4 linked regions of the Drosophila melanogaster genome follow. The protein of the gene in region 2 interacts with the protein of the main gene of each other region in a pairwise test. Each region holds a gene or a part of one and is shown on either strand. Other genes may lie near its edges.

The links.
Region 1: the proteins of CG6569 (region 2) and Sem1 interact in a two-hybrid assay, tested with the Drosophila melanogaster proteins (one large-scale study listed by BioGRID).
Region 3: the proteins of CG6569 (region 2) and CG6276 interact in a two-hybrid assay, tested with the Drosophila melanogaster proteins (one large-scale study listed by BioGRID).
Region 4: the proteins of CG6569 (region 2) and Mondo interact in a two-hybrid assay, tested with the Drosophila melanogaster proteins (one large-scale study listed by BioGRID).

Annotation. Positions count from the first base shown.
Region 1 is NT_033779.5:7,062,309-7,069,053, reverse strand, and holds Sem1 (suppressor of exocyst mutations 1), read right to left. Parts: upstream 5,069-6,745; 5' UTR 4,969-5,068; coding exon 4,857-4,968; intron 4,802-4,856; coding exon 4,674-4,801; 3' UTR 4,594-4,673; downstream 1-4,593. Other genes in the region: Ugt307A1 (UDP-glycosyltransferase family 307 member A1), read right to left, coding at 1-364, 416-1,071; Nuf2, read left to right, coding at 3,289-3,589, 3,650-4,022, 4,080-4,593. UniProt on the Drosophila melanogaster protein: Subunit of the 26S proteasome which plays a role in ubiquitin-dependent proteolysis.
Region 2 is NT_033777.3:21,865,672-21,873,714, forward strand, and holds CG6569 (uncharacterized protein), read right to left. Parts: upstream 2,249-8,043; 5' UTR 2,173-2,248; coding exon 2,138-2,172; exon of another isoform or gene 2,074-2,137; coding exon 1,734-2,073; intron 1,684-1,733; coding exon of another isoform or gene 1,681-1,683; exon of another isoform or gene 1,656-1,680; coding exon of another isoform or gene 1,623-1,655; exon of another isoform or gene 1,594-1,622; coding exon 1,096-1,593; intron 1,039-1,095; coding exon 839-1,038; intron 780-838; coding exon 572-779; 3' UTR 502-571; downstream 1-501. Other genes in the region: lsn (larsen), read left to right, coding at 1-76, 144-290, 354-501; CG31174 (uncharacterized protein), read right to left, coding at 3,119-3,311, 3,368-3,490, 3,548-3,843; CG31431 (uncharacterized protein), read left to right, coding at 6,364-6,469, 6,739-6,854, 6,917-7,130, 7,201-7,850.
Region 3 is NT_033777.3:15,315,998-15,324,437, forward strand, and holds CG6276 (uncharacterized protein), read right to left. Parts: upstream 4,073-8,440; 5' UTR 3,917-4,072; coding exon 3,830-3,916; intron 3,769-3,829; coding exon 2,443-3,768; 3' UTR 2,206-2,442; downstream 1-2,205. Other genes in the region: CG14866 (uncharacterized protein), read left to right, coding at 646-824, 897-1,441, 1,498-2,141; CG44040 (uncharacterized protein), read left to right, coding at 4,428-4,610; ear (ENL/AF9-related), read left to right, coding at 5,421-5,607, 5,679-8,287.
Region 4 is NT_033779.5:21,305,350-21,314,291, forward strand, and holds the start of Mondo (mondo), read right to left. Parts: upstream 4,702-8,942; 5' UTR 4,590-4,701; exon of another isoform or gene 3,590-4,589; 5' UTR 3,439-3,589; coding exon 2,939-3,438; intron 1-2,938. Other genes in the region: crc (cryptocephal), read left to right, coding at 6,526-6,694, 6,749-6,859.

The sequences.
Region 1 (6,745 bases), on a different chromosome or scaffold from region 2:
GACTTTAAGGTGAGGGTAATCCAAGCTGATGGCACTACCATTTGGACCATCGTAGGTCCAGTAAATGTCATAGTCCGGAAACTGAGCAAAAGCTTTTGTGAAAGTCCGCACCAGTTCTTTAGTGGACTTCCGCCAAGTGAAACGAGTGCCCAAACTGAAGATGATGAGAGATCGATTGCCGGCTGATATTTCCAGAGGAGTCTTATCAAGCTGTTGCTCTAGGACTATACCTCCTATATCCACCATACTGGGAATAAGTGGAGCTATGGGACCCTCGCTGATCATGTGATGATTACTTAAAGCCAGAACCACCGACCGTCGCATGGTTTCAAAACTGGGATATTGCGGTTCGGGAAAGTGCAAACTAAAAAGAAAATCTCAATTGATCGCTAAACAACTGCGTTTAGATACATACCGGTAGATCCTTGCCAGCACTCTCCTCGCCAAAATCTCCATGAACTTCTCCCACATTCCAAAGACCCAGGCCGAGATTCCACTTCGCTGTTGGCCATCATACGGCTGTGGGACATACCAACGCTCCTCGGGATTACCCATAAGGCTGTTGACAAATCCAGTTGGCTGTTGGGTGGAAACTATGGCCACTGGACAATTGAAATGCGCAGCAACTCCCAGCAGATGATCGTTGAAATGATAGCCCAAGAGGAGGAGATCATAGGGAGTATTAGGTTGATTTCTGAGAAACATCTTCCACTCCGGCAGATCAAGCAGATCTCCAGAATGCTCCAAACGCCTAAACATCCGTTCCAGGCGCAGAATGAGGTCCGAGGAGGATACTTCCTCTTTTGGCTGCTGCCAGGGAATGTAAATGTGTGACACATTTCCCTGAATTTCCTGCTCCTCCAGCGGCAATGTGGTGACTAGGGTTAAGTGGTGACCCCTCTGCAAAAGAGCGCGACATACCGCCAAATGGACCATTAACTGCGACCGGTGCACATTGACAAAGAGACCCAAAATGTGATGGGATTCCACAGGGGCTGGGCTATCGGCCAGCAGGAAAATGCATGTGTAGCCCATCCACAGAAGTGACCAACTGATCGGCGAACGCTTCATGACTGAGGCGCTCGACTCAAATTTACATTAGCAGCTAATTAGCAGAGTCGCACGGACACACCATAAATCAATCAAAATGATAACAAGCGATTTGGTTACCCAACGACATCAAGTCGAAAACTGTGGCGTCACGGCGCTGTCCAATCAGAGCCATTAACAAATTTAACAAAATCAAAGAGCACAGTTATTTATGTTTTTAACTATTTATTTAAGTGCTTAAGTCAGATAACTTCAAACCTTACGCCTTTATGTTTCACCCAGTTCATTGTTACATGTATCAAATGTGTCGCCCAGTTTTACACCCCTTATCGAAAATGTGTTAAAATTTCGTTTTAGGAAAATCATAAAAATAGTGATAGGGATAGTTAGTTATATTTATTAGCAGTCATTAGTTTAGCTGTGACACCTTTTTTGGCCAAGTTTTGGAGAAATGAGCGATTGGAAATATACGATTTTCGACAAAATTTCTCTTCGTTCCTTTTTCGTTACAAAAATAACGAGTTTTTTTGCAATAGCAATAAGAATAGTTGTCCAAAACTGGAATGTCATATCTCGTTGAATTCGTAACTTAATTCCCTATCCATATGTGTTGAAACCTGAAAGATCCAAGAGGCTTCAATTTTTTGCAAATTTTGATGAGGGTACCCCTTATCAAAAATGCGAAATTTTGTAAAAATTTTATTTTTGGAAAATCAAAAAACTAGTGATAGGGATAGTTAGGTATGTTTATTAGCAGTACAAAACAGTCTTTATTTTCGCTGTGCCACCTTTTTGGCCAAGTTATGGAGAAATCAGCGATTGGAAATATACGATTTTTGACAAAATTTCTTTTCGTTCCTTTTTGGTTACAAAAATAACGAGTTTTTTTGCAATAGCAATAAGAATAGTTGTCCAAAACTGGAATGTCATATCTCGTTGAATTCGTAACTTAATTCCCTATCCATATGTGTTGAAACCTGAAAGATCCAAGAGGCTTCAATTTTTTGCAAATTTTGATGAGGGTACCCCTTATCAAAAATGCGAAATTTTGTAAAAATTTTATTTTTGGAAAATCAAAAAACTAGTGATAGGGATAGTTAGGTATGTTTATTAGCAGTACAAAACAGTATTTATTTTCACTGTACCACCTTTTTTGGCCAAGTTATGGAGAAATCAGCGATTGGAAATATACGATTTTTGACAAAATTTCTTTTCGTTCCTTTTTGGTTACAAAAATAACGAGTTTTTTTGCAATAGCAATAAGAATAGTTGTCCAAAACTGGAATGTCATATCTCGTTGAATTCGTAACTTAATTCCCTATCCATATGTGTTGAAACCTGAAAGATCCAAGAGGCTTCAATTTTTTGCAAATTTTGATGAGGGTACCCCTTATCAAAAATGCGAAATTTTGTAAAAATTTTATTTTTGGAAAATCAAAAAACTAGTGATAGGGATAGTTAGGTATGTTTATTAGCAGTACAAAACAGTATTTATTTTCACTGTACCACCTTTTTTGGCCAAGTTATGGAGAAATCAGCGATTGGAAATATACGATTTTTGGCAAAATTTCTTTTCGTTCCTTTTTGGTTACAAAAATAACGAGTTTTTTGCAATAGCAATAAGAATAGTTGTCCAAAACTGGAATGTCATATCTCGTTGAGTTCGTAACTTAATTCCCTATCCATATGTGTTGAAACCTGAAAGATCCAAGAGGCTTCAATTTTTTGCAAATTTTGATGAGGGTACCCCTTATCAAAAATGCGAAATTTTGTAAAAATTTTATTTTTGGAAAATCAAAAAACTAGTGATAGGGATAGTTAGGTATGTTTATTAGCAGTACAAAACAGTCTTTATTTTCGCTGTGCCACCTTTTTTGGCCAAGTTTTGGAGAAAACCCCGTACGGGCATATCAGATTTTTAGCATCATCTTTTGCAGCGCTGGAGGAAGCCAGAGTTTTCACTCACCAATAAAAAATGTAACTTAGTAACTTTAGCCAGATTTTCCGTTACTTTTTAAGTTTGCGCTGAACAAATGCAGTATTTTCTAGCTGCCGGGAAAGAAAACCGGATAAAAAAACCCGAGAATCTGCTGTAGGACTATAGGTGTGAAAACCACATAAATTCTGAGTTAGTATTTTAGTGGTTTTTTGGGGCTAGCAAGCTTTGGTCACATCAATCTGATCCCTTAGCGGCGTTCCATTCAAAAACTGCCATTAAAAATTAAAACTCTGGATTGAATGGCGTTATCAGTCGAAATTGAAAGGGTAATGGACCAGGGCAACTGCCTGATGCCCGACATCAATATCTGCCAAAGCGACTTGGCCAATCCCACCGAGCCCATTGTCACCAAGATCATGGTGCACTATCTGCGGAGTTTCGGCTTTCGCCTGGAGCCGCCCTATAAGATTGGCACCGAACTCGGTCACTCGTCGCGGGAGGCGCGCGTCTTTCTTATCCGAGTGTGCCGCCAAGTGGAGCGCATCGTCCAGATCAGCTTTCCCAACAAGACGTACACCTATATGGACATAATTAAACCAGGTGAGCCGGCAGCCGGTCTTACAATAAGCAATTATTATTAAACAATTCTTTGGCTATTAGCTGTTAAAAAAACGCTCGCCACGCTGAGCTACCTTTTCAACCATCTGGCCTACTACAAGGTGTTCAAAAAGAAGGTGCTGGGACCTGTAGAGGAGGCCATTAAGCTAAAGGATTCGCTGACCGCCGAGGTGAAGGCCAAAAGTCAACAGCTGGAGCAATGCAGCCAGAAGACGAAGGATTGCGAAGTGGCCATAAACAAACTCAAGAAAGATTTGCAGGATACTCAAGCAAAGCTTCTACCTTTGAAGAAGTCCTGTAGCGAGCATGAAAACACTCTGGAACTCATTGAGCAGCAGCAGGGTGAGCTGGACAAACGCATCGGTCACTGGGAACAGCTAGTGGTGGAGGACAGTCAAGTGACAGAGCTGCGAGAGTAAGTGCTGTCGGGCAAGCCTAGATTCTGTGCTTATTTTAATGTCAAACATTGTAGGAAAATTAAGAGCGCATCGTCGCATGTCGAGAGCTGCAAGACGGAGCTGGCCAGTAAAAAACAGGTGACGAATGAACATCGCCGGATGATCGAAAACAGTCAACATATAGCCACCGCTTTGGAGAAGGCCACGGCTGTGCTTTCGCTGTGCAAGGTGGATGATTACAAAGAGAGCTTCAAGCAGCTGGAGGCAGTGGAAAAGCAGTTGCCCACCTGTAAAGTTAATTATCAGAAGCTCCTTCAGGATGCAGAGGCCAAGAAGCAGGAACTCGCTCTTTGTGCACATCGGTACGAGGAAAGAAACCAGGAAAACGATGCCGAGAATCACAAGGTGCAAAATGAACTCAAAAAGCTGCAGGTCGATGTTGAGGATCGCAAGAAACGTCTGGAGGATCTGAATAATCACTTGATCGAGCTAGACCAGCAAAATTTGGAGCAAGATCAGCTATATGCCATATTAAATGAGCAAATCCATGAGGTTCTCGGACAAAACTGGCAGATGAATTCCACTTAATATACTGATTTTATTCTATTAATGCAAAACAGCTCAGCTCGTTTTTATGGTTAGGACTGAACAAAGGGGTCGGTGCCGGTTTACGTTTCCATTTTCTTGCTCTCCAAATGGGCCTTCAACTGCTGGCTGAAGTCGTCCTCCACGTTGTCGTCGTCCCAGTTGTCCTCCCACACATTTAGCTCTTCCTCGTCGTCGCCAACGCGGAAATCTACAATGAAAGTGATTAGAAACTGCCGATGTACCACCACATTATTGCGTCCAACCTTCGGCGGGAAACTCTTCGAACTCGTCGTCCTCCTCCAGGAGACCCAAGTCTTCGCTCTTGTTGTTGGTCTCCTCCTTCTCTTTCTCCTTTTCCTTATCTGGGGCAGACATTTTGTGTGCTTTTATTAATTCCAACGGCGATAAAACAATGTTTTTGACGCTATTCGCGTTTTTTGTTGCTAAATGATGCCAGTCACTTTTAATTGTGTGACCGCAGCTGTACCGTCGAAATATACCCAAGTGAACAGGAAAAAATACTTTCAAAATACCGTTGGCACCCGACAGTGATGTCAAATCTAACTTTATAGCTAGAAAAAAAGGCTAAAGAATTAATTAAGAATATTACAAACAAATGTTGGCAGATATTTGGCAACTTGACACAGCCGTTAATAATTCTAATATATTTCTCCTTTTCTAGTAAAAGAATTAAGTAATTAGGCTTTTCACCCGACTAAATTGTGAGTTGAATTCAAACGCAAGCTATTACAATCCCGAAAAAGTTGAAGCACTTTAAAAATGAAGTTCATTTAAGATCTCAAGTTTCTCAGGTTTGTTGTAGACTTTAAAATTGGCTTTATATGCATTTAATGATTTGTATAACATTTTTACGGCTGGCTATTTAGTTTTCAAGCTAAAGGGATTATTGAGCATTTGGGTTTTAAGCTACATTTAATTTAACTGTTGCTGCTGGTTGGCTATTTTAAACAATTAGATCAAAAATGTACCATATGTTAACATTAATAAATATATATGTTATATGCGTATAGTTTTTCATATTGTTTCCGTTCTTGAATTGCTGCCTTTTGATTTATTGCATAGCGAACTTTAAGTTTTGTCTATTTTTGGGCTGGTTTTCGTGCTGTCCGAAATGTAGTAAAAATAAAACATATTTCACAATTTGTATTCTTCCATTTAGTTGACTTAATGGTAAAAATTTTGTATGCCAAAATATATACTCCTTTGTTGCATCGTTAGTTTCGGTTTCTAGAGTTCACAATTTTAACTCTAGTTCAACATTTAACATTTAGTTGTTGCGGTCTGCAAATCTACATAATTAAATAGTTTGTTTGATTTCGTTTGTGTTTACATTTAGTCTGCTAATGTTATATACGAGGAATAAAACACCTTATATTTGATTAGTAATATTGTTGATCAGTATTGTGTGTGGTTTTGGGCTCTCCACTTCGCTCCTTCTCCGTCATTTTTTAAACATTATTATTCATCACAGATGCTCTACGCACAAATCAAATTAAATTCAATGCAATTATTATCATCGTTTAACAATTTGTTACAAGCTCCGATTTTCCGTAATTGCTGTAGCTAAATGGGGCGACAAGTTGGATGGGACACATATCCGTGGGATCGGGACATACATTCATTCATCTGGATTATCCCTGAACAAGAGCCTGTCCTGCTGCTGCCAGCCCACTTAAGTAGTGGTGATCGTTTACAGTGTGTGGAGAGTGGTTAATTCTATTTAGTTTATAAGATAATATGAAAGCTTTTCTAGAAAAAGTGTTGTATCACATATAGAGGAAGTGTTAAATATGTATTCATTTGTTTAGCATTCGGTTTTGCCAACTGTTTTGTTGCTTCAAGTCAACAGTTCGTAACAAGGATTTGCGTTCTTAAATATTAGAGGATATATATGTAAATAGAGTTAAATTAATCAGCTTAGCCTCAATAAAATGCTTTAAAGTAAATACATAAATACGAGCAGTCCGTCTATCCATTTGGACTTCAATTCGGTTATTGTTCAAAAAACATTTTTCAAGATTTTTGCCTCAAGGTGTGATCAAATCAAACACAGAACCTATATTTCTCATTCGTTTTCGAAGAAAAGCACCAATTAAGTTACGCTTAAACACAATAAAAAAAAAAGATTTTA
Region 2 (8,043 bases):
AGAGTTCAGTGCACCAGGAGATCACCAAGGAGGACATCCTAATGGCCGCTAAGAAATTGAGCATTTTTGGCAACGGGTATGGGTCATTACCTCTGCTTGCATTCAATATCACAAGTTTCTCGTTTTCCATAACGTACCTTCAGCTTTGTGGTTCACAAGCTGGGCAAGGGCAAGTACATAGTTCAGTCCATTCCCGGAGAGCTGAGCATGGAGGAGACCAACATACTGAATGCCGCATCCAATACCGAACAAGGCTGTGTTACGCAGAGTCAGCTGATCAAGGATTTGGGGTAAGAATTTCACTTGTACTTTCAACTGAATATCCCTTTGATTTCCGTGTTATCCGTTCTCAGCTGGACCGACTATCGTGCTCAACAGTCACTGGACAAGGTGCTCGGCGAAGGTCTCTGTTGGATTGACAAGCAGGCGGGCGATGAGCCAGCCTATTGGTTTCCCAGTTTGTTTCCCGGTCGAAACGCACAGACAACGGCCGCCACATAGTGTGATCTCGTAGAACTAATTTATTATGTACGAGAGTTATCATAAAATATATATTTGTACAACCGTAAAATCAGCGTGAAGTCTGCTTGGAGCTATCGCCTGCGGCACCGCTCTTAAGCAGTTCGTTTTCCGCCAGCAGCACGGAGTTCTCCTCCCTTAACTTGTAAATTTCCGATTCGAAGCGTTGCGTGATGTCCTCCATGCCCTCGCGGTATTTCTCCTTCATTTTCTTGTGATCCATTATGCAGCGATCCATTTGAGACTTATAGTACATTTTTCTAAAAGCGTTATGATTTATAATCATGTTTGTCATTAATTGTCTATGTTGTATACTCACATCCTGGCATCTTCGGCATCCCCACCGTAAGCTTCAGTAACGGATCGCTCCAGTTCGCCAAGTCGCCGGCAAGTTGCCTCCAACTCGGCCTCCAGCTTATCGTTCTGCTTCAGCACCTCCTTGTACTTTTGCTCCAGGCGATTGCTCCGGGTCTCCAGCATGTGCACCACCGACTTATGATCGACAGCCAGTTTTTTCAGCTAAAATTTGTAAGTGTAACTATAAGTGATAATTATTATACGAATATAGACTTTTACCTTCTCCTTTATGGTGGTAATTATAATGTCCTTTTGCTTGAGCATATTCTTCAGATGGCCCACTTCAACGTCGACGCGTGTGGAGGCCTCATCCATTATGGTACCGATATTGGAGGCTAGGTGGGTCATCTCCTCCTTGTAGGTCTCGGCCAGCTTTGTGGCATCTATTTTCTCCTTGTTTGCCTCTTCGCTGAGTATGATAGCCTCCTCGAGCTTGCGCATGGCGGCGGTTTCCCGTCTTGTGCTCTCCATGAGCAAATTGTGGGTGTGGCTCAGCGATAGTTCGTACTCCTTAAGCTGCTTCTGCAGGATGGACACCTTGGATTGACTCTGCTCGCTATCCTGCAGTTGAGCATGCAGCTGCTGGAGTTGCAATCCGCTGTGCTGCTTGTGATCGTGCAGGGCCTTTATGGTCTCCGCCTGCGTGCGTATCTCCTTCTGCTGGTCCTCAACTTTTGCCTCCAGCACTTTGACGATCTTCGAGTACCGCTGTATGACCTAAAATTGAATTCCGAAAACGTTGAAGTTTACTTTAGGATTTTTCCATTAGTCTCTGGTCCCTAAAACATACGATTTGGTCAAAGCTTACTATAATATGATAATCAATACGGGATTGGAATGATGAAGTGCAATAATACCTGGTCATCTCCAGACATTTTCAATTGGACGCGATAATTCTTAAGATCCATCTCCATGGTTTCGATGGTCTGTTTGGAGAGGTCATGCATGGTTTTCAGGCTGTTCCGTTCCTTGATAAGCTCATCCACCTGCTTCTTGGACGCGTCCAAAGCCTTGTTGCTGAGTTGAAGGCGATGCTTGAGCTCCTGGTAATCGCCGCTAACCAAGATGCTCCTGCATTTGGCCAATTCGATGTCCAGCCGGCGGTTCTCATTTAGAATTTCGTTGAGGTGAACCTTCAGTTCGGCCTGATCCCGCATCAGTCGATCCACTCCTTCACACATTTCCAGCACAAAGTTGCTAAATGGTGAATTGGCTGCGCGTTGACTAACTTTAGTTGACAAATTTTCCTTTGCTCTCCTACCTGAGAATGGCTTGCTGATTTTCGTGTTGTGTCATATTTGTTGTGTGTTTGGAATCATATTATTTTTCACAGCAGAGTTGTGTATCGGGTTTATTGTGTGTTTGTATAGAATTTCATCAATGAACCAAACAAAATGTTTATGTTTGACATGAGACGAGTTTCTGCGATGAAGCAAGCTTTGTCTTTTAAATTATCAGGCATTTAAAATCCTGTTGAAGGCAGTTTGGCTTAGAAATCCATCCGTATCCCCGCGTGCAGCAAGGAGTTCTCTGTATTTCACCGATTTTATGCAACTGGCAACCTTTTGCTGCCCCTCGTCAATCTCTGACAGCCAGCCGCTACCCTTCAAGCAGGTACATATGGATACGGTCTTACTAGCCATTAAAAACCTGGCACGAGTCCTGCCGCGAACGCTGATCCCCTGACAAGTGTCTGTTGTCCTGGGCAACGGGGCAGTGGCAAACAAATGGGGATGTAATCGAAATGTGGTCAACTTTCCGTTTCAGTTGTTTGCAATGCCGCTCTTCAACAAGAAGTTCGAGTCGAAGCCGATTCCAGTGCGTCAGGGACGTTGCAATATAGGACATCCGGTGGCCACCGAGGATCTGGATGACTTCCGCCAGATTTCCCTAACGCTGGGCAACAAGGAGCTGCGTTTTGCGGACGGCATCTGGATGCATTCGACCCGAAAGGGTGACGTAGATGATATGCTCCGGCTGAACAAGAAGTTTCGTGCCCTCGAGGAGGAGAACAATATGTGTAATCTTAAGATCGAGGTGATGCTGGATCTGCTGGCCGAGCGCGACGGAACTAAGTGAGCTGAAGCCAAAGGAAAAGTGATAAAAAAGCTGTATAAAATAAACAAAATATTTGATATACTGAATATTTTTTATTGTCAAATGTTAAAACCCAAGAAACTACATAAATACGTTTTGATTTCACTAATAAAATGCTAAAATCTTAAAAATTCCTAAGCGATGACTAAGGCTGATGAGTGTTTGAGTTATTGGTGGAATCATTCTCGGAATTTACCCACTTAGAGTGGACCTTACTAAGTCGCGAGTACTCAGCTTCATACTGTTGCATTAGATCATCCATGTCTCTCTTGAAGGAAACCATAATTTCTTCCTGCACACCTTTGTACATTTCCACTTGATCCTTGTGAAGTTTTCTTCTATAAATGCCAATAAAGTTAAGTAAATGCTATCATAAATAAAGTTATGATCTCACAATTCAGCTTGTTGTTCCTCCATATCGGGATTGGATTCAATGGCCGATTGTTTCACTCTAGCTTCAAGGTTTTCATCCAGCTTCAAAGCTTCCATATATTTCTGCTTCAAGCGTTCCTTTTTTCTGTGTTAAAAAAAAATGTTCATGTAAATATTATACGTAAATGATTTAGGATCATACAGCAAAATTTGAACTTCTTTATTGGGATCATCAACAGAGCATTCCACCTTGATCTCAGGTTCCATATGCATCACAAAATCTTCATCGAATTTAACACTGTTTTCAATCTTGGGATGGGATTTAGAAATGTTTTGATAAAGCTGGCAGGTATTCTGCATAAAGTAGGTACAGTTTTGATTTCGCTCAGGTTCTCTTTTGAATCCCACCATTGTTGGGGTTAATGATTTTGCAGCCTCATCTATAAAGTTCTTGGATTTAATGCTCAAATTTGCGATGACATCGTTCAAGTCGTCCATATCGTCCTGATTCTGAACCAAAACCTAAAACTTTATATCCTTGGCTTTAAGACCAATAACTCGATAAATTTATACTGAATTAAATGGTGATAGTAAACTAAATGCAAAGGGAACATGTTTCCATTTGTTTCTCGATCACAAAGTAAATCAGTTCGAGTAATAAGCGCATTTGTTTATTTATCGTAAATACCATAAATTTATTTTTACCCAAAGTAAGCTAATTTCGATTAAGACCCAACCACATACTTGAGTCCTATTTATAATGCCACATTAATCAGTTTCACATGCCCATCGGGAAGTTATCAAGTGGTCTGGCTGGGGGGCTTTTGTTGACCGGCCCATTGGGAATTAATTTGGATTTGTTGCGCATTTCGAGCATGGCGAGCATTGGAGCTGCTGGTCAAATTGGTGGCATTGTTGTCGCCATTTGTAGCAATCTATAGACGCCATTTGTTGGTATCGCGGAGTTCCGGCGTCGAGCAGCCGGTGGCTTCTGCTCCATTTATGGGCCGTTTGATAAGCCACCACCACCCGATAAGCTCCGGCTATCGATGGGTTCGCTTGAAACCCATGGCTTATCACCAAAAACCAAACCCACTGTGTGACTCGCACAAGAGCTGTATAAATAACACTTTGAATTTACATGATAACTGGCCATCTATGGCTTAGAAAAGCGTTCGGATTGCCCGATAAAGCTAAGCAGTCCCAGCTATCCGCATTGCCTCTCTAATCTTCGGTTTGATGTGGAAGTGGCAATAGCAGTGCGGGTGCCTTCACTGGATATGTACATAGGTGTCTGGCTAGACCCATATCGGTTCACTCCATCGACTACTGTATATTTACGCACCGATATTGTTATGCGATAAGCAAAACTGCTTATAAAACACATTTATTTTGTTGTTCCCCAGCAATGCCAGAACCTAGAGCAAATGTACACTGGAAGAAATAGGAGGTAGATGTGTATGTGTATGCTCTAAATACTATTAGTACTAACCTTGAACATTCAATTTGCATAAACCAATACACATATTTTATAGCCCTAGTGATTTTATCTTTGGGATAAAAAGTTCTCTTCAGTTTTTCATTGAATTTTCTCTCAGTGCACTGCCCACAGTGGCCGCTGCCGTCGCCTCCGAGGGGTAACACTTGTTCAAATCGTGTATTACAGTAGTTTGTTGATAGCCAGCCCCGCGAACGGAACGCATACGGAAGAAAACGATCGCAAGATCGATGTGGCTACAATATTTACGGACCTCAATAGCCAATTGTTCGGGTGGGAAAGCAGCAGCAATTGGATCTCCAGACGGGGAAAATCTAGAATTTTGCAAAATTCGCGAAAATTCAGTGAGCATCGACAAATTGTGTGTGGCATTAAGTAACCGGAGAAGCAGACCCGGAGTTCCAACTAGTGGAAAAAAAGTAATACACCGTATCAGCGGAAGCAAGGCGATTATGAAGCCGTCGTGTCAGTTGTCCATCTGGTTTTAGCCACAGTGAGTGTGTTTGCTCCTATTTTGATTCCACTGGTCGCGGCCCGGTCGGTAAACAAATTGTCTATTAAACAATCAACTTTTCACCTAATAAATGATATCGTATAAATCAATTGAGTCGATGCCAATCAAGTGGGGCAACACAGATAAATCTCCATCACAATGGGAAGAGATCGCAGATCTTGGAAAATGAAATGCATAAACAAACGTCCCTGGTATTAAAAGTGTTTTATGAGCTTCGTGTTTTGTGGTCGACAAATGATTTGTTCGTGACATACCACGCAAACGGAATATTGAAACAATATAAACGTTTGATTCTCTTAAATATAATATCTTTCTAAATTTCTGTCAATTAATCAAAAGTCTATAACTAATGTTTATGTATTAGGAGATCATATATGTTTCCCAACAATTCATAGCTTTTCGCATCTAATCACACCAAAAAAAAACTATTCGTAAAGTTAGGCCCCTTCTACGCGCTTCTCAATCTATCGAGTGCCCCCGCAAGTTCTGTGGTAGCCGCCAATCAATTGATAAACGAGCATTATCGCTGCGGCAATGATTTATTGTTGCATAAATGGCACTCACTATTTATTAATAAATGGGAAGCGAAATTCTGATAATTTATATATATGAGCGCACCAAGGATTTGTGGCCCAGTGTTTGTGTCTGTAAGCCAATGTAGAGCACCCGTTCGCTTCGAATGGCCAAGTAAATAAACAAAAGTGGATTTTTACACTCATTGCCGACAGCGCACAATAAAATGTGTGAAAAATGTGCTAGAACCAGTGGAAATGCAACCGCGTCGACCAAATAAATAAATAGAAACTTTGAGAGCCTCGTTTGTTTGCTAAGAAATTAAATGAAAATCGATCATTTGGGAAATAAACGAATGGCCGGCCAGCCAGCGGAATTCAAATAAATAAATGCCAAACGATTGTGTGTGCCCCAAAGTAACTAATCAAAGTGTTCGACAGGTTCCTTCGGCGATAGCAAGTGGAAGACAATGTCGCGGATATGCTAAGTGGAAATGGATCCGATGATTTGTGATCTGTGGTCTGGCCGCATTTGGCTATTGATACTCATTTGCCTGTGCGGCTTTCAGCAGTCCCGCTGTTTTTTTGTTGACTATACAGGTGAGTTTAGTTCTTACTATAAGGGTAATTTTAATTTCGAAGATATATATATAAGTACGTGCATATTTTCATTTAGAAGCTCTTTTTGTTACTACACATTTCCGCTTTCATTCGTCAAAATATTCAGAAGGTTAATCGCAATTTCGGGGAGCACAACGCTTGATAAGATACTGTCAATTTGGCTATCATTGACACAGAAAAAAGTAAACATTGCCATTGCCTTGATTGAATGGTTCGGAATTTTTGTTATATCTTTTTTGCCGGTGCAGAGAACACAGAGTTAATTCAACAGAGAGCCGGATTCGATGTCAAGCTGCAGTGCAATCTCAAAGGTCTGGTCGATGAGAGTATGCTGAATGACATCAAGATACATTGGTACTTTAAGGTATGTACTATTATTATTATTATTATTGTTGGTACCCATTGATTAGCATTAAACTATTTCAGCAATGCAGCGAAAACAATTGCCATCAGTTGGGATCTGTGGACGAGTGGACTGCTCTGCCATGTGAGCCGAGTCTTTGTCGTCCGGAACTCTGGCTCCGGAATGTGACGGAGCGGTATTCGGGACTGTACAAATGCAGCATTAATCCGCACATTTGGGATAAAGCCCAGGCTGTGGATGTTCAACTGGTTCGCACCTATCAGCTGGATGTTAAAAGTATGTACAATTTTCATCACCATATATACCATATACCATATCGAAAATTATGTATAAATTCTATTTGTAGACACCTCATTGGCAGCCCCTGAGTTTGTGGACTCGTATCCCAACAACAAGACCACATTGGTGGGCAGTAGGGTGGTGTTCCAGTGCCGTGTTCACAGCGAGGAGCATCCCACAATCAAGTGGTTTCGCCGGCAGACGTACGTGGGAACTCAGTCAGGTGGCGAAGCCTCCTCGGCACCCACAACCTCAAATTTTAGCAACCATATTGTCCGGTACAATGGTCGAACATATGAACTACTGTCCACCGATCCAGAAAAGATGATGGCACCCCAGATATATCTCAGCAAATTGATTCTGGACGGAGTGAGATTACGAGATGCCGGACACTACGCCTGCGTGGCCATCAGCTATCGAGGCCATAAGATCCGCGAGGCTTTCCTGGATGTGCTGGCCGATGTGGAGGATACGGATCAGGAGAATGAGTACTGGTCGGACTACGGTAATGAAGATGAGGGAGTTCCGACTAGCGATCGACGGGAGTTCCTGCTGCTCTTCCTTATGCCACTGGGATTGGCTCTTCTTCCATTGACCGTGTGGTTCAGTTATCTGTTGTACAAACGTTGCTCTGTGGGACACGGCGATTGCCAGCGAATAGATTCGGACGAGGATCTGGACACGGAAAGGTGTGTCCTCGGGGGAAACAAGCATTAAAACCGAATATTTTTGAAGCTGCACTACGCTTATTAAGATTATGGATAAAGACTGTCTATAGAGTTATGAAAAGTAGACTTACAATCTGAAATAAATATATAATTTTTTATGCGAACTTTAGAGCTAATCGAGTCAACTGTAATGCCTACATCAATAAGGACATTTTTAAAAATCTAGAAAACCTATACTTTTA
Region 3 (8,440 bases), 6.5 Mb from region 2:
TACTTTCTTAGTTAACCGCATTCAGAAAGTCATTCCTCACAAGTCGAAGAACACCCAAATGAACATGGCACATCCAGCACACCAAACTCCATTTCATTCAAGTTTAAGCCAGCAGTTTTCGCTTCAATTGACAGCCGCGTCAATTACCTAAGTCTGGGCCAATTTGGTTGGAGTGCAAACAAACAGTGGGTCGGACCGGGCCGGTCCACAAAAGCGGCGAGCGGAGCAGTAGAGATGCCGATGAAAAGCCCAATGACTTACATTTGCCCACCACAGCCAAGCGAAGGAGAAAGTGAAATTTTGCATTTCTCGGCGGCCGGCAGCAACAACAATGGGTCTTCGGTCTGGTTGGGTCTGGTCTTGGCCATTGCCATTGGCATGGTATTGAAGCGGTGCGACGGTAGCAGGGAAGAGGGGAAGGAAGAGGCGATCAGCGAGCGGAGCGGACCAGGCCCAAAGTCAAGCGCAGAGCTTCAGTCGTGGTTTTCAGCTCGACCCAAGCGAACGGACGTCTTTGAACAGCGGACGCGGCATAAACCGCACGGAAAACGCAACGAAATCGAAAGTGTTCACCACGCGACTGGAATCGCCAAGTGCTTAGCGAGGCGGGGGCAATATACCCATCCGTAAACATTACGTGTCACCATGCCGCCGGCTGGTCAACAACTCCGGCTTACGGCCCTTGTTTATCTGGCATTAGGTATTGCACTCTTATGCAATGGCAGCGATGGTGAAACTAGGCAAAAATACGCCAATGAATCACTCGCGGACGCAGACGATCCATCTCCAGTTTGGTCGCAATTTCTCGAAGATTACGTCTTGAGGTATGGTTACAGGAGGCTAGGCTAGGGCAACACACTCATCCAGATCTTCCCACGCGTCTGTCTTACATATAGCCAAGGCAGCAGTAGCAGCGGCAGCCAGCGAAAGTCCAAAGACCTGCCTTATATGGGCGCGGACATGGGCATCAATGGACCGCTCAGCTATCACTCGTCCGCCTACAAGCGACCCGGCAACAATATCTACATCACCAGGAGAATTGGCGAGGCGGTGGAACTAGAGCCGCATCTGCGAAAGCCCGTGGAGAGCCAGAGTCCCATTGTGAATCCTCAGTTCCGACCCATGACCAATCAAATGTTGCACCAGCAACACCAACAGATGCAGCAACAACAGCAACAGCAACAGTTGCAGCAACGCCAGCAACCGGGTTTCCTGCAGCAGCTCTTTGGCATAGGTGGCAGTGGTGGTGGTGGTGGTAGCGGTACCCAGCAACAGCAACATGTGCGACCAGTGCCGCTGCAACAGCAGCAAGTGCAACAGATAGCGCAGCAACACCCGCAACAGCAACATCTTGTGGGCGGTCAGCCGACCACATTCCGAGCTGTCTCCGAAAATGATCTTTATCTCTTGGGAGCCATTGAAAAGTTGGTGTATCGAGTGGGTAAGTTGAAGTCACACCTAGGAGTTCTTGGTCTAAGTAAAAGCAAACACCCATAGATTACCTGGAGAGTCGCGTGCGGCGCTCGGAGCAGCTGATCTACTATCTGATGGCCGGAAACAATCAGAAGGAGGTGAAGGATCCCTGTCCCGCGAACTTCACGCGCATCAGCGACAACTGCTACTACATCAACAGCCAGCAGCAGGTGAACTGGAAGACGGCAAACTCTGCCTGCAAGGGTCTAAACTCCCACCTGGCCGAGTTCGAGAAGGTCTCGGAGAATGAGGAGATCATGGCCTATCTGCTGAATCAGCCGACGCATCGTGGTCGCGATTACTGGCTGGGCGGTCTCAATCCTGGCCTCCTCTGGATCTGGTCCAATTCGGCTAAGCCGGTGAATCCCAACATGAATCTCACATCCATTGCGATGGCCCAGAAGGGGGAGAACTCGACGGCCGCCAATCTGGTGGACAGTTCGGAGCAGGCGGCAGAGGAGGCGACCGGCGAGGATGTGCTGAACAACACGGTGCAAATAGAGGGCAAGGGTCGCTGCCTACGGCTAAGTTACAATGCCGGAAAGCACAGCTATGTGTACTACGGACAGGAGTGCACCTCGCGGCACTACTACATCTGCGAGCACGAGGACAAGACGCTGGACAACAAGATCAAGAAGATCACCCGCGAGCTGAAGCTGTTCGAGTGAGGATGGGATGCAACCCATTCCGATCCTCATGTGATACTTCAAGTTACCTAGCCATATATCGCATAATTTCAAATGAATTTATTCTTGTGTTACACATTAAATATTTATAAATATTTATACAATTAATAAACATACCGGATAGTTTTCAAAACGTTTTTAAGGATACTTTGTTCTTGCACAGCGAAGCTTAAAGGATTCTTTTTTTTTCTCCAACGAAAATACAAAAGAGAATATTAAACAAAATCGATACTGGAACTGGGTTCCGTTTGCGTTAAGCGGAAGGTATACACAGAGATCAACGCTAATCCGGATACAGGTAGTCCTGCAGGATGTTCTGGAAGGCTATCTTTATCTTGCCGCGATCACGGCCGTTCAGCTTTTGGATGTCGGGCAGCAGGCTCATCAGAAACATGGCATCCGGATCGGTCTTGCAGTCGCACAGCTCCGCACCGCCGTTGGACACGGATCCGCCGGACGCGTTGTTGGCTTCCAAACGCAGAGGAAGCGCTGACGGCGGCACCTGTGGATGTCCTCCATGCATATGGTTGTGCCCATGCCGTTGACTCAAGTAGCTACTGCTACTGCTGGCACTAACACTACTACTGGGCGCCATCGGGGTGGCCACGGCCGCAGTGGATGGTGTGGGCAGTTCCGCTTCGGATAAGCCAGCAGTTCCTGGAACACCTCCTCCTCCTCCGCCTCCGGCGTGCGTTGTAGTGCTAACCAAATCCACGGGCTTGCTGAAAGTAGGTCGCACAAACGAAATGTTTGGATGGGCAGTCGGCTGTGCGGAGTAGTTGACCCCGGCCACTGCTGCAGTTGGAGCTTGGAGTTCCTGGGAACGCGGACGAATAGCGCCACGCATCTCGTCATGGTAGGTGCGCATTTGGAGGCGACCCGGAAGCATTCGGCTGGCGTGTGAATGCTGGTTGGCATAACGACGCTGGGCCTCCGCCGATGAAGAGCTAGAAGTAGGCGCCATCTTGTGTAGGTCCTGGTCATCCTGTTCATCCTCCTCGGGCTCGTGCGCCTCTTGTTCGTAGTCATCCACCGGCTCCTCGCACTCCGACTTAATGTCGTTGCCGTCCAACTGGCCGTGGTAACGACTGTTGCGCTGCTGCTCCTCCTCCATGATGTCATCCAGCTCGGAGTTGTTGTGTTCCGCCTCGTCAAAGTAGTCCAGATAGTTGTCCAGCTGCTGTGCAGGTGGTGACTGGTGGGCGGAGGGCGTGGGCTGGCCACCAATACTGCTGCTGCCCGGAATGGTCACTGAACGCTCACGCTGCATACGACTAGAAAGGTTCGAGAGGTGTGCCAGGGCGTCCTGCACCTGTGTGTCCAGCGATTTGGGCTGCTGGTGCTTCTTGCGTAGATACGGATGCAGAAAGAACATGCGGTCGAAGTAGGACCAGCAGGGTGGCACCTTTTCCTCCAGATAGTTGGTGTACTCTCGTCGGAACGAGATGCGCAAATTGGTCCACTTGGCCAGACTGGCGCCCGGATTCTTTTCCAGCTTCAAATCCACCTCGCGCCAAAAGTTCTCCACGTACGGGCGGCAAAAGTAGTATTTGTGCCTCGGATTGTAGATGGCCTCGTCGCGCTGCACAATTTCGATTAGTTTAAAGACCTACAGAACAACAGAAATATGTGAATCAAATCATTTTCAAATTGCATATCCATGCAAATACCTCCTCCGTTAGCCAGCGGGATGCACTACAGCTGGTGTTGGGATTGCTGGACACGAACTGGCTGCCCGCGAAGTCGGTCGTCATCATGGGTGGGCTGTGGCTCCAAGGCAGTCGCTCCGATGGATTCAATTTTTGGCTGACTTATCCAGCGTTCGCCATAACTTTTGCGAAATATTTTTATTGTTTTTCCCAAGTGTTCTTTTAAGTGCTGTGAACCAAACAGGCGGCCGAACTGGTTCCGGATCACAGAAGCTTTTGCTGACTATTTTGGTTTATGCGGGTTCCTTAAAAACAATGATCATGCAATATAAAAATTTCCCATATATATATCATCTTGTCTGAATCCGCGTGCTATGCTTAAAAGCTTAACCTGTAAGTGGCAAAAAGCGAAATTCCATGTGTTGCTATTTCTAAACAAACACAAAACACATTATTTAAGTACCACGCAGTGTTTGCCGAATTGTTTCTTTTCTCTTGATATTTGGTACATAGGCGGAATTGAAGCATTTGTGTCAATATTTGCAAATCTAAAAATGAAAGGTATAAAATTGAGCAACTATCCCCGGGAAAATATCACAGTCACAAAAGAGTAATCAAGATGAAGTTCTTCGCCATTCTGTTCCTTCTGTGCGCCATCGTTGGATTCGCTGCATCCTCCACCTCGACAACCACGACGGAAGCCTCCTCTGATACTTCAACCACTTCGGCGGCACCATCCCCAGTTCCGTGCGGAAATGGGCCCCAAGGACCATGTGGCAAGAAACTATACTTTTTCTACTAAGAAACAAATAAAGCACTCTATTCTTTAAAAAATGCATCGAGTTAAAAATCTGAATGAATTTAAACTAGATATATGTACATATTTAAAACTAATTTCACGAGCCACCCTAGAAAAAGTAAACGCAACGCATATTCTAGTATATTTTACCCGACTCAAGTGTATTTTTTGGTGCCCCGAACTTTGGTCACACTTTACCATTTTGGATTTTATTTTCTGTGTTTTTCCAAAATTTACTTCGATTCTGGCTCCAAGCTTTTACGTTTTTTCTGAAAATTGTGCGCATCTCCATGTGAATGCCGCACGGCGCGATAGTAAGTATAAAGCGTGGCTGGTGGGGGCATGTGGCTAAAGGAAACCACAAACACGGCGAAAGCTTGCAACATGAAAAGTCCACATTGTGGCACACATTCGCTCACAAACAATAACAAATTGAACGCAAAGCGAATCATAACAAAAAACGTCGGTTATCAAAGGATATTCAAAATGTGGTAGCTAGTGCGGGCATCCTGAGACCGATTGAAAGGTTTCCAAAGCCAGGCGCAGACTTGGAGGACGTGACCTGCCACAGGATTCGCATTAGAAATCACGCATGCACACTGAAGCGAAAGCAAGGAGCGCAATACTTGGCTAACACCTCGTTTGGCAATCCATTGGGCCTTTCCACATAACTGGCGATCATTTGTTTACGTCGCATCAAGCTTAAGTGCTTGCACACTCGAGTTGCATTGGTTTTGGCGCGCTAATACGTAGCATCTTAATTCACCACTTAATTGCAGGCAATCACTGGAACTTGATGCCCTACCCACAGGCATGGCGGTCAAGGTGCAATTCGAAATTGGCCACACGTCGAAGCTGCGCAGCAAGAAGACACCGCATCCGCAGGCCTTTACGCACGACTGGGAGATCTACGTTCAGGGCGTGAACAAGGCGGACATCAGTGCTTTTGTGGAGAAGGTGGTCTTTGTGCTGCACGAATCCTTTCCGAAACCCAAACGAGGTAAATGCGGCGATATATCATGGGAGTAGTTCAGTCGGATTAACTCTGTTACCCGAATTGTTTATTTGCAGTGGTCAAGGAACCGCCGTATGCCATTCAGGAGTCCGGCTACGCTGGCTTCCTACTGCCTGTTGAGATTTACTTTCGCAACCGAGACGAACCCAAGCGCATTGTTTACCAGTACGACCTGGTACTGCAGTCCACGGGTCCACCGCAGCACCACGTCGAGGTAAAGACGCACATTTTCGAGGCGCCGTCGGAGGAGTTTCGCACGAAACTTATGCGAGGCGGTGGAGTGCCAGTGTTCGGAGCTAACATCGGTGCCGGCAGTCTCGCCCGAACGCTTTCGCCCAGTGTTGGCAGCGGTGAGACAGCGCACAGTAATGAGATGTCTGGTGTCAAAGCCAAAGGCGTACCAGGTACAATATCCATGAACTCGGATTTAAACACCGGCAAGAAACACAAGTCGCGCAGCGAGGATCCCGGAAAGAGCAATGCCTTCTCTGCCCTCTTCGGTCCGCCTATCACGAAGACCAGCGTAACGGCCAACAACATGGCCCAGGTGCCTGTCTCCAAGCACTCTCCGGAGGCTAAAAGTGCTGCCGTTGGCGGAAAGGGTGTGTTTCACGAGGGCAGGGAGAAGGCGAGCAAGGATCGCGATAAGTCCAGCGGCGGAGACAAGCCGCGGGAGAAGGACAAAAAAGATCGGCATGGTCGCGACAAAGACCGAAAGTCCAGTAAGTCCGGCGATGGCAAGCACGAACGGGATAAGGAAAAGTCTAAGAAGGATAAATCACGGGACAAGGAGCGTGAGCGCGAGCAAGGTTCAGGCAATACCACATCTGCCAACGCCCTTACGGTGGCTACTTCTGTTGGCACAGCTGGAGGACTGGTTAAGCACACAGCAAGTCCTAAGCCTGGAAAGCCAAACGAAATGGGTGCGCCCAGTCCCAAGAAGACGGCAAATGATTCAGCCGCTGGTGCGGTGGCACCTACTTCCCGTTCCAAAGAGCGCGATGAGCACAAGTCCGTCAAATCCGAGTCCAAGGACAAGGAGCGCAGCTCCAGCAAGAAATCCAAGAAGGATAAAAAGGATAAGGACAAGCAGCGCGATGAGAGCAAAGACAAGCGAATGCCCAAAGACGAGCGTCCTGGCCAGTCCGACAGTCCGGCTTCCGGAAACCTTCAATCTGCCCACCTGCAGCAGCAGTCCCAGGTGGCCAGTACCGGCAAGGCCACGCCCACATCGGTTGGCAGCAATAGCAGCAGCAGCATGGTCTCGAACATTGGCAAGCAAAAAGAGGAGGCAACGGGAAAGCATTCCGAAAAGGCCGCAGAATCTAAGGGTGATAAGAGCACAAGCAATGGAAATGCGACGGACACCAAGAAATCCCACAAGCACAAGAAGAAGGAAAAAAGCAAGGACAAGGAGAAGGAGCGCAACGATCGGGACAAAGACAAAGACAAGGAGCGCGACAAGGATAAGCTGAAAGAAAGGGAGAAGGACAAACAGCATGTGACCGGTTCAGAGAAGTCATCAACGGTCGACCCATCGCCTAAACTAGAGGGGGCCAGTCCAGCCACCGAGGGAGGGGCACCGGACAAGACCCCTGTTAGTGCTAGTGCCAGCAGCGGCAGCAAGAAGGAGAAGCACAAAAAGTCCAAGGAGAAATCCTCTGGGAAGGATGAGAAGCGCCAACGGGAGGCCGTCGATAAGCAAGCCGATACCAAACACACTGGAAAGTCACAGCAGTCACAGTCGGGTCAGAGCAAAACGCCCAGCAACCTAGATCTTAGCGATATGGACTCAGCACAGTCGGCGCCGGATCTTGCCGCCACCAACGCTCTGGCTGCAGCAGCAGCCGCCACCCTCCAGCACTCCGACAGTTCCAACAGCAGTTTTCCCGACCTACCCGCCAGGAGTAGCAGCCAGCAGAAGCCGACGAAGGGCAACACCGGTTCCGGCAAAGAGACGAAGTCTACTGTCAAGGAACACAAGGGCAAGTCCAAGCAGAACGACAAGACGCTCGAGAAGAACACTGACAAGACAGAAAAGCCGGACAAGACTCCGGACCCCAAGGTGGACAAGTCCGAGAAGTCGGAAAAAGAGGACAAGAAGCGCAATCGAAGAAGCTCACAAAGTAGTAACAGTGGCAGTGGTGCCGGAGTCACCGGTGCTTTTATAGAACCCCCTGTTAAGGCCTCGAAAAAGGAGCAGGGCAAGGCGGCGGGCGAAAAATCCAAGTCGCCCTCGTTGCGTCCACCTAGAGAAACCAACTCTACAGGCACTGGAGGCGGGACGCCCAATGCCGGAGCCGGTTTCCTTGCTCCACCATCATCTTCGCCCAGCAACAACCACAGCGCTGCAGTGGCGGCGAGCTTAAATAATAATAATAATAATAACAACAATAACACGAACAGCAACAGCAGCCATTCGCCCGGTGAGATGACGACACCAGGACAGCTCCAGCTGCCCACGGAGTATTTGAGCGAGCTTCAGGAGCTGCACCACAAGATCATGACCCTGCAGGACAATGAGGAGTTGCAACACGTCGTGGAGATGATCGCGGCCACCGGATGCTACGAGATCACGCACAAGACGTTCGACTTCGACCTGTGCAAGCTGGACCGCGGCACAGTGCAGCGACTGCAGGAGTTCCTGGCGACGTCGGTGTCGTGACACTCCCTGACCTCCGCGACTGGCCCGGCTCTCTACAGCTAGACGATGCACAACCCCCTCATGCACATAACCAAATCATTAAAGTTAATCTTAAAGTTAACGATGCAAGCCAAATGCAAATGAACTTGGCTCGCACACAGCCTCAATCCCCCT
Region 4 (8,942 bases), on a different chromosome or scaffold from region 2:
ATAAAAACTGTGATAAAAGTTTTAATAATAATTGTTTTTAAACCATTTCATATGGTATTATATGTATTTTAATCAGAACTTTAAAAGTGTTTTTGTCCTCATAAAGTAACTTTAAAAATGTTTTTGTCCTCATAAAGTAATATATATAAAGCATATAACTGTGGACGGCAGTTCACATAGGGGCGTCTACTATTGTGGACAACGGTCCTGTAGTAATGAAAGTCCTATACTAAAAGAAATCTTAAACGTATCGAAAGGTATCGCAAAAACTAATAGGACTTTTAAAAAATTAAATGGTTCAACGGAAAAAAATTTGTGAAGATTTAACAGTTGAAAGTACCAGCTAATGTGATATTATTAAACAAAAAAAATTTAAAAACCTTTTAATATTTAAATTTTTGCCCGACCAAGCTATTGAAACTAGAGGACTGTGCTGTGTCGGCAATAATAAGTTTTTTTTCGACTATCTGATCAAAGGTTTGACGAGATAAAAAACTAGCAAATGCGATGAAACAAAAGAAAAATCATACAATGCGTATTTTTAAGAACACGTTTTTCTGTGGGTAATTAATTTCCACTAGATTAAAATTGTCTAAATTGTTACTTTCCCACTTTCTCAGCATCATCTTATGAAACATATGTTCTACCTATTGATAGGTGTACCGTTCTGAAAGGACACCAACATTATATATATACCCGTTATTAGGACCAATAGCCGAATCGATCTGGTCCTGTGCGTCTGTCCGTCCGTATGAACGTCGAGATTCATAATGCAACACACGCCCTAAATTTCCACGACCACATTTTTGAAAAATTGTTGGATATTGTTTTCATAATTTTATTAATCTGGTAAATTTCTATCGATTTGCCAAACCACTTTTTGCAACGCCCAATCTAACGCCCTAAAGCCGCCCATAAGTGCCGCGACTACATTTTTAAAAATTTTTGGATATTTTTCATAAGTTTATTAGTCAAAAAACCACCCCAAATTGACACGCCCACACTTTTGAAGAATGTTTAGATTTTTCTTCGTTTTATGGTTTGTCTTGCCAGTATTATGGTATATCAAAAACCCCTTCTCAGATCTACAAAACGATCATGCGAAACATTTAAGCAATTTTGAAATTTGTTCCTTAGTTTATTCCCCAATATCTATCGATATCGTAGAAAAATGATGCAATTTTGATTTCGCATTCCCACTGGCACTTGTCCCGAATTGGACTTAAATATGTATATGTAAATATGAATGTTGTGTATTAAAAATCATGGAATTAGAAGAGAAACAAAACTTTAAATTTTATTAAAATGGGTAGCCGCTTCAAAAAAAAAAAAAAAAAACAGCAAAAAGTAAAATAAACAAGAGAGAATGCTATAGTCTAGTTCCCCAAATATCAGATACCCGTTACTCAGGTAGTGATTCGAACGCCAAATTTCAAAATTTTTCTGGGATATCGATAGATATTGGGGAATAAAATGAGAATACATTTAAAAATTGTTCTAAAGACTGGCAGCTTTATGGCGTTGAGTGGTGGTGGCAAAAAGTTTTTTTGGAAAATCGATAGAAATTTAAAATTATGAAATAATATCCAACAATTTTTCAAAAATGTGTGCGTGCCAGTTTTGTGCGGTTTTAGGGCGTTAGAATAGGCGTGGTAAAAAGTTTTGTTGTAAATGGATAGAAATGTACAAGACTAATTAAAAAATGAAAAAATTATTCAAAAATGTGGGCGTGGCAGTTTTGGGCGGTTTAGGGCGTTAGAGTGGGCGTGGAAAACAATTTTTTTCCAAATCGTTAGAAATTTACAAGACTAATAAAAATGTGAAAAAATATGATCACGTTTTTCAAAAGTGTGGGCGTGACAGTTTTCAGCTAGTGTTAGAGTGGGCGTGGCAACATGGCTAAACAAAGTTGCGGTTTTAACTTGGCTAAACTTCTAGATTTTATAGGGTTCCTGAGATCTCGACGTTCAGGCGGACATGGCTAGATTGACCCAGCTATAGATCCTGATCAAGTCGGAAACGCCCGTTGCATACTTTTCAACTAATCTAGTATCTAGAATCGTAGAGTAGAAGCGTATAACAATTACGTTGTTCTCTCTTTTAATATGTTATTTAGACAAAAAAAGCGTTTGGAAATGTCTTTCCATCGAAACTTAACACCATCAAAACAACCGGCGGGCGTGCAAAATGAAGCATGTTATAAATTTAAATTTATATTTTTCCTCGTGTATATTGTAGTCGCTAAAGCGCATCCAGGAGAACGCACACTCTCCTAGAGCACTTAGTCACTTAGTGAAAAACAACAATGAAATCACATGGTCGTGAAAAATGTAAGGAAATCCGAATTCGTAGTTATTAACAATACGCGTATATATATGGATCATACAAACAACTACCGTAGCTGTTTTATAGTGACTAAAAACCATCATTATAACAAACAAATTTAAAATTTAAAACTGTATAACACTTTTTTTAAACAAATCCTTTTCGTTCTTTAAAAAAAAACAAAAAACAATAGCTTCACAATTCAGATTTTTAGTTGATAAGGTCTCAGATAATAATATGTTGTAAGCAAATTGCATTTCATTTTGCAAAATTAATTCATTCTGATATTGCTTTGGCAATACTTTAATATTTTCTCTATGATTGCGCTGTCGTTTGCAGAAATGGGAGAAGTAACAGAAAGAGGGGTATAAAGGGTGGCAGAGGAGCGATTGAGGCAATGTGGGGCCAAAGTAACCTGAGCAGCGACGTCACGTCTCAACATGTGCCGCGATTATGGGACCGAAGCGGTCCAAGCTTTTTCGTTTGCTGGATTTTCGTTGGCCAGTTGAGCGTTATCACGCTCGAAACGCGTGAACAAGCGGGAAACAACATTTCATAAATCTTCAGGGCCCCGGTGTTCGGTTGTGGTCTCGAGTACGAGTCTTCAACTCACCTGTAGGCCAGATTCATGCACTTGAAGAGTTTGGTGAGCGAGGTCTCTATCTCCAGGTGGGAGGTCACCATGCTCATGCTGCTCTCGTCGCCCTCCTGGTCCATGGCGCTGAAGTGGGCCACTGTTTGGGGTACGTAAAGCTGCACGTCACGACATGTGTTGGTTGGCTCGCCCGGCTTGCCCAGACCGGGGTCCTCAGGGTCTAGCATCTTCACCTCGCCGTCATCCTCTAGGTCGTCCTGCGCCTCCTCTGCCTCGAAGTGCGAGACCATAAACTGGCCGGAGTGGATAGACTCCCGCTCCGCCTTGAGCAGGTCTGCCGTAGCCTCGGCGGACCCTGACGCCGAAGCACCTACTCCCGTTTCGTACTGCAATTGCTGGAAGTTTTGGCACAGAGACTGTTGCAGATAAGGCTGCTGGTGCAGCTGAGGCAGCTGGTGCTGCTGGTGGGGAAACATTTGGCTTGTGCGTTGGTATCCCTCGTGTTTATTCAGCATCATTTTCAACAGGTGCCAGGGGATGCCTATGCAAATAGTTTACTGTTGAGCCAAAATTTTGGCGGTTGCAGATTATGTCGATATGGCGAGGGCACATTTAATGGTTTTTTAATGTCTCTCGCGTAGTAAAGGCTTTTAAAAGCTGGTGCTGACCCTTTTTTAATTTGGATGGGGTTTTTCCATCATTTCAAAATATGTAAACGTTCGCAGACTATAAAAAAAAATATGTTTTGTCTTGCCTCGTGGTTAACACATTTATTAATTCTCTCATCTAGTGTTTGTCCTTGTCATTCTATTAACTAAATTACTAAAATAAGCGATTATTTGATAGAGACATAGCACGGTTTTAAGATTTTGATTTGTTTACAATGCCCGACACCTTCAGCTTTTCGTCATCGACACCTGTCCAATTGTTGCTTTTTCCGGAGCGAAGCTTCTCTAATGGCAAACACGCCCCGCTTTTGCCGTTATATGCGTCACACAGCACAATAACAACAATTTTCGCACACACACACACACACACAATCGCGGCGGGGTTGGCTGGGGATACGGACGTCAGAACGAGACGTCAGTGGCCGCTTGTAGCTCCTTGAACAGATAGTGAAGCCCCAACTACTCGTAAACACACGCGGATCTGATGGAAGGCCAACAAGGCGGGCAGAACCAGCGCAGAACGATCGGTTTCATTCCACAAACAGAACTGATCGGAGAACGAAGCTGCGAAACGCACATAACCTGTGCGCCGCACACAACACAACAATGAACAGCTGACGCGAAATCTCTCTCTCTCCCTACCTCGCTAGCGTTGCTTATCAGCTAGGAAAACGTACATACATATGTATATGTATGTATGTACGTGTTCTTCTATATGCGCAGATGTCAGGCAGCAATGTTGTCCCCCTCTCCACTATTACTATATGGAGCTCAGTCGATTTGACTCCTGGCATTCGGCCTTGCCATCCAGAGTATGCACTCCACAAGCAGTTCTGTGTTTGCACTTTTGACCTCTGGCTCAGCGCTGCCTTTGCATTTTGCCTTTTTCCGTTCCCACTCATATACACGCGCATGCACGCGCACCACAATTTCGGTACAACTGCAACTGCCCCCTATAGCAGAAACACGGGCAGTTAGCAGGCACGACGGACTACCAATACCACGCACACACGCGCAACACAAAGCTTCTACGTAGTTTAATCACAATATAGCACACATTAACCTATTGCGGGTAGCGAGCCCTCACCATCCCATCAGGGTTGTCAAGCATTTGGTGGCTCTGATAAACAGCACCCTCTTCCTAAAAATGGCTGAAAGCTGCGAGCCGAAAAACGCAAGAATGAGCATAATCACCCCAAACGTAAAGATTGGGAAGGGCAGCATACGAGGTCATATGTTTCCTGCTCCGAAATTGCAATACAATGAATTTAGGACGGCTATTTCCCGTAATTAGTTTCCAGTTTTATGGAATTGCTATTATATCTTTTTCCGACAGCACCTTGAAACCGCATCAATAAAAAGTTAATGCGTTGAGACTAATAGGAAAAACTAGAATATATACATATATTATACTCAAATGTAATGTGTTTTTTAAACATTGTTGTGCTTAAGTAATTAGGAAAAATTATGTAAAATGGATATTTTCCCTTTATGTTCACTATATTGTTTAAGTTAGAGAATAGAATACCCAGAATAAAATTAGTGATCACACATCAAAAAACTATCGATAAACATTGAATTAGTTCCGGTTAAAATTTAATAATAAGTATTCAAACTGCACACCTTGTTACAAAGTAGTGTAACTGCCTAATTCTTTATCAGCAGACTAGAGGATTTCGCACTCCCATGTTCTTTTGCTTAAATACCTTTCTCGGGCTTATATTAGACATTATACTTTCAGAGAATTTTTTCATTTGTACTGTTAGAAGGTTCTTAATGAAATTGCTGTTCAGTTCAAAATTTTTATATAGTCATTTAATAATACTTTACGAATGATTTTGTGCGCTTTAGATTTGTGAGAAAAAGGGGTGGGATTATTTAGTAGAAAGTAGCAAGGCATTTCCCGATCTGGTAACACTGATTCCAACACTCATTACCGTTCCAAATGAAACGCAAAAAGGTTCAATTGTTATTTTCTCTCACGATTTCGGCATTTATATTAACCTAAAGATGGCTCTATAGTTTGCGCGCAAGCAAAAACAAGCAGCACCTAGGTGCCCAAACACAACAAAATGGAAACGTATAAAAATCAAAAGTGAGTATACACCAAGCTAAATTCTCGCTAATTTCGCAATTTATCACGCACACTGCCGCACTTGGCGTTCTACTCATTCATTGTTGCTGCACGTGTGTTGGTGGCATTGCCTTGTATGGATTTTCAATTGACCGGGCGAACGTGGCAAATCAAAACTCAGTGGGGCATGCCACCTGGTAAAGGTAAAGAAATTGGCTGACGCAATCGCCGACTGGAGTTGAGTAATGTGCGTTGCAAGTCGCCTGCACGTGCGAAAATGAGATGACTCACCACAGTAAGGACTACCCCAAGCGGACACAGCCCAGGACAGAGCTGTTTAAACCGGCTGCGCGATTGCAGCTCTACCCTTGCATTCTATATTTACCTAAAATGTTAAAACATAATTACTATATTACTAAGCTAGAGGGGAGAAAGAAGTTTTCAAAAAGAAAATTAAAATCAAAATTTGCGTGCTTAATCTCAACTTTTTTGGTGGTGGACACGGCAATATTGACTCTTGGTAATAAAATGTTAAAAATACATTTATCTTTCATAGTTTTCAATGAATGTAGTCTACCCTTAGATTAATTTGAATATAAGAGGTACAGTAAAATGATTAAAAGTGTTTTTAAAAGGGTAGCGACTATTCATTATCACTATGACTCGTGATAAGTCATTAAACAGCTGTGGGCTGAACAGCGAACCAATTAATCATAATTAATTCGTTTCTTTAATTCTCAGCGCCATCATGGCATTTTCACAACAACAAAACACACCGCGAAAACAACCATTCTCATTCTTCGGACCGGATTTCATACTCTCAAAACAAAACATATCTTTGACCCCTGATTTGAACTCTGGATATGGACGCGACATTTCACCAAACCATGGAGAGCTTGCAGTTGCCCAAGGAGCTGTACTGGGACCTCAAGATGGAGCCACAATCCCCAACATCGGTTTTGGGCTCCGATCTGTTTCCGCTCACTGACTCAAACGATACGGAGTGGCTGTATGACGATAACTTTGCAAATGGTTTGTGGTGCCTAAAAGTTTTTTTGAAAGGATTTTTAAGGATTTTAATTTAAGGCATTACTCTTATTGGCGATGATGAAGCCTTGACCCTGGAAGAGGTAGCTTCTCTCCAGTTGCTTAGTGATGAGGAGATGGTTGTGGAGATCTTTGACCTGAAAGATGAAGGTAGGTATATTTTAGTGTGCTTACTTTTTTGTACATAATAATAATGTAAAATAATAAATGTTCTTGTAACTGTAGCTGAGCGCAAAATGTAGATAAACCCATTTGCGAGGAGGTCTTAAACCCATAAGAACGACCTCTTAGAGTTCTTATTAAAGCACCCAAATGTTTGCTAGTCTTACATTTTTCAAAGTCCAAAATAACTTTATTTATAACTTGAAGCTCATAATATTAAAGCAAAGACCGTTACTATGATTACTATGATAAGATAATTGGTAGTTATGCCTGATACTCGTAGATCAATGGGAAACTAGGCTCATTGAAATCTAATAAATAAAAGTAAGCTTTTCCGACTCTATTCAATTACTAGCCGAGTCGATTTGGCCATGTCCGAGTGATAATCAAAATCTCAGGAACAACAAGAGCTAGAAAGTTGATATTAAGCAAGCATACTCACGACCAATTATTTGAAAAAGGGATTACATTTCTATTGATATTCCAAAAATATTTGAGAACCTTAAATTGTCCGGATCTTTATATTAGAAGTTTTTAATAAATTGAGTTTTCAATTAGATACAAATATCTTAAATAAATACACCTATGGCAAATCAGTAAAAATGAAATATTTAGATATTTGCAGGAGCTTTGAACGTCTGCAAAATTCCCGCAAAAAAGATCTTTATATAAATATTAAAACTCAACTTTTGTTGTATAGAGCTCTTTCTTAATAATTAGTGTAGATCAAGTGGATTTCATTGTCTGAGTCATTAGGGTCTCGCACATCGCATTTGAACCTAAAATTCCGACAGGTAAAGTTGAGGAACCGGTTTCAAGTTTGCTTTGTTTTCGTTAGCGTATGTTTCTGGTATTTTGGCCCTCTTTAGCTTGAGCATGAGCGTGTTTTTGTATTATGGTTTTCACCGTGCATTTTATTATTGTTTATCAACGGAGCGCCAAGCAAGCGCTGTAATGGCCAATTTCCAGGCCACAACAAAGACTCAGATCAAGCGAGAGCAATGAAATCAGTTTTTGATCGGTTTTTTGCGTACTTGATCACGCGTTAAGCGAGTGATCGGCTGGACTCTCTCTTCTCTCTGTAGCAATCTCTCTCGACTCATTGCTGACGTTCGGGTAATACATTAAGAATTCAATAGATAACAGCTGGGTTGTATGATTTTAAAGGTAGGAACTCGATCCATTCTCTGGTGGTTATGACTCTGCCCCTTTTGAAAGCTTAATCTTATAGTGTATGTTTTGTTAGTGAAATATATTAAGTATCTGCGATCAATGAACCATTTGACATTATGACCATCATAATTTTGGTATGTATTTTTCGGTCGATCAGGAAGCTTCTTTGTTTGAAATGTAAATTTTTACGGATGACGTGCCCCCTGTTTTGAGACTGTCACTAAGGCTCATTCAGGTAGATTTTTATAAATACCTTTTAAATAAAAGGAGATGAAGTTATATTGGTTATTTCAAGATGCTGGGAGATTACTACTATTAACATCTCAAGCATGTATATTGTACATATATGCATATACGAACGATTCTGCTAATACTTTAATAATTTTAGTATATCATTGTACATAGTTTGTGTAATGCATATGGAAAGTGGAGTTTCAATTTTACTGAATTTTTCTCAGTAATATAATCTTTATTCCAACTAAAATTGAGAGCAACCTGCACAGAGACTTGATTGTTGTCAAGGGTGGAAAGTTACTGACTGGTCAGGTGCACACTGCAAGCTGTTGATAATACTGTATAGAAAACCTGTGTAATTTAGAAATGCAATTTTTGAAGAACTAAAAGGGCTGAGCAATGCTGTGGTAAAATATTGATTTTGACATAAAGTAAACGAAAGTTAAACGGAAAAATATTCAGAAACCAGATTCCAAATTCCCAGCTATTTTCATTTTTGTTCAGCTACAGATCAATAAAACAAAACACCTAAATTTGCACCACTGTGCAGAGTCCGTTGGCGCAGATTGTGACTGTCCGCTTGTCTCAGCTGATAGCATCTCGGGCTCGAAATAAACCAACAGATTGATCTTAATGCAGGGCGCTCTCTGAGCTTCGCTGCCTT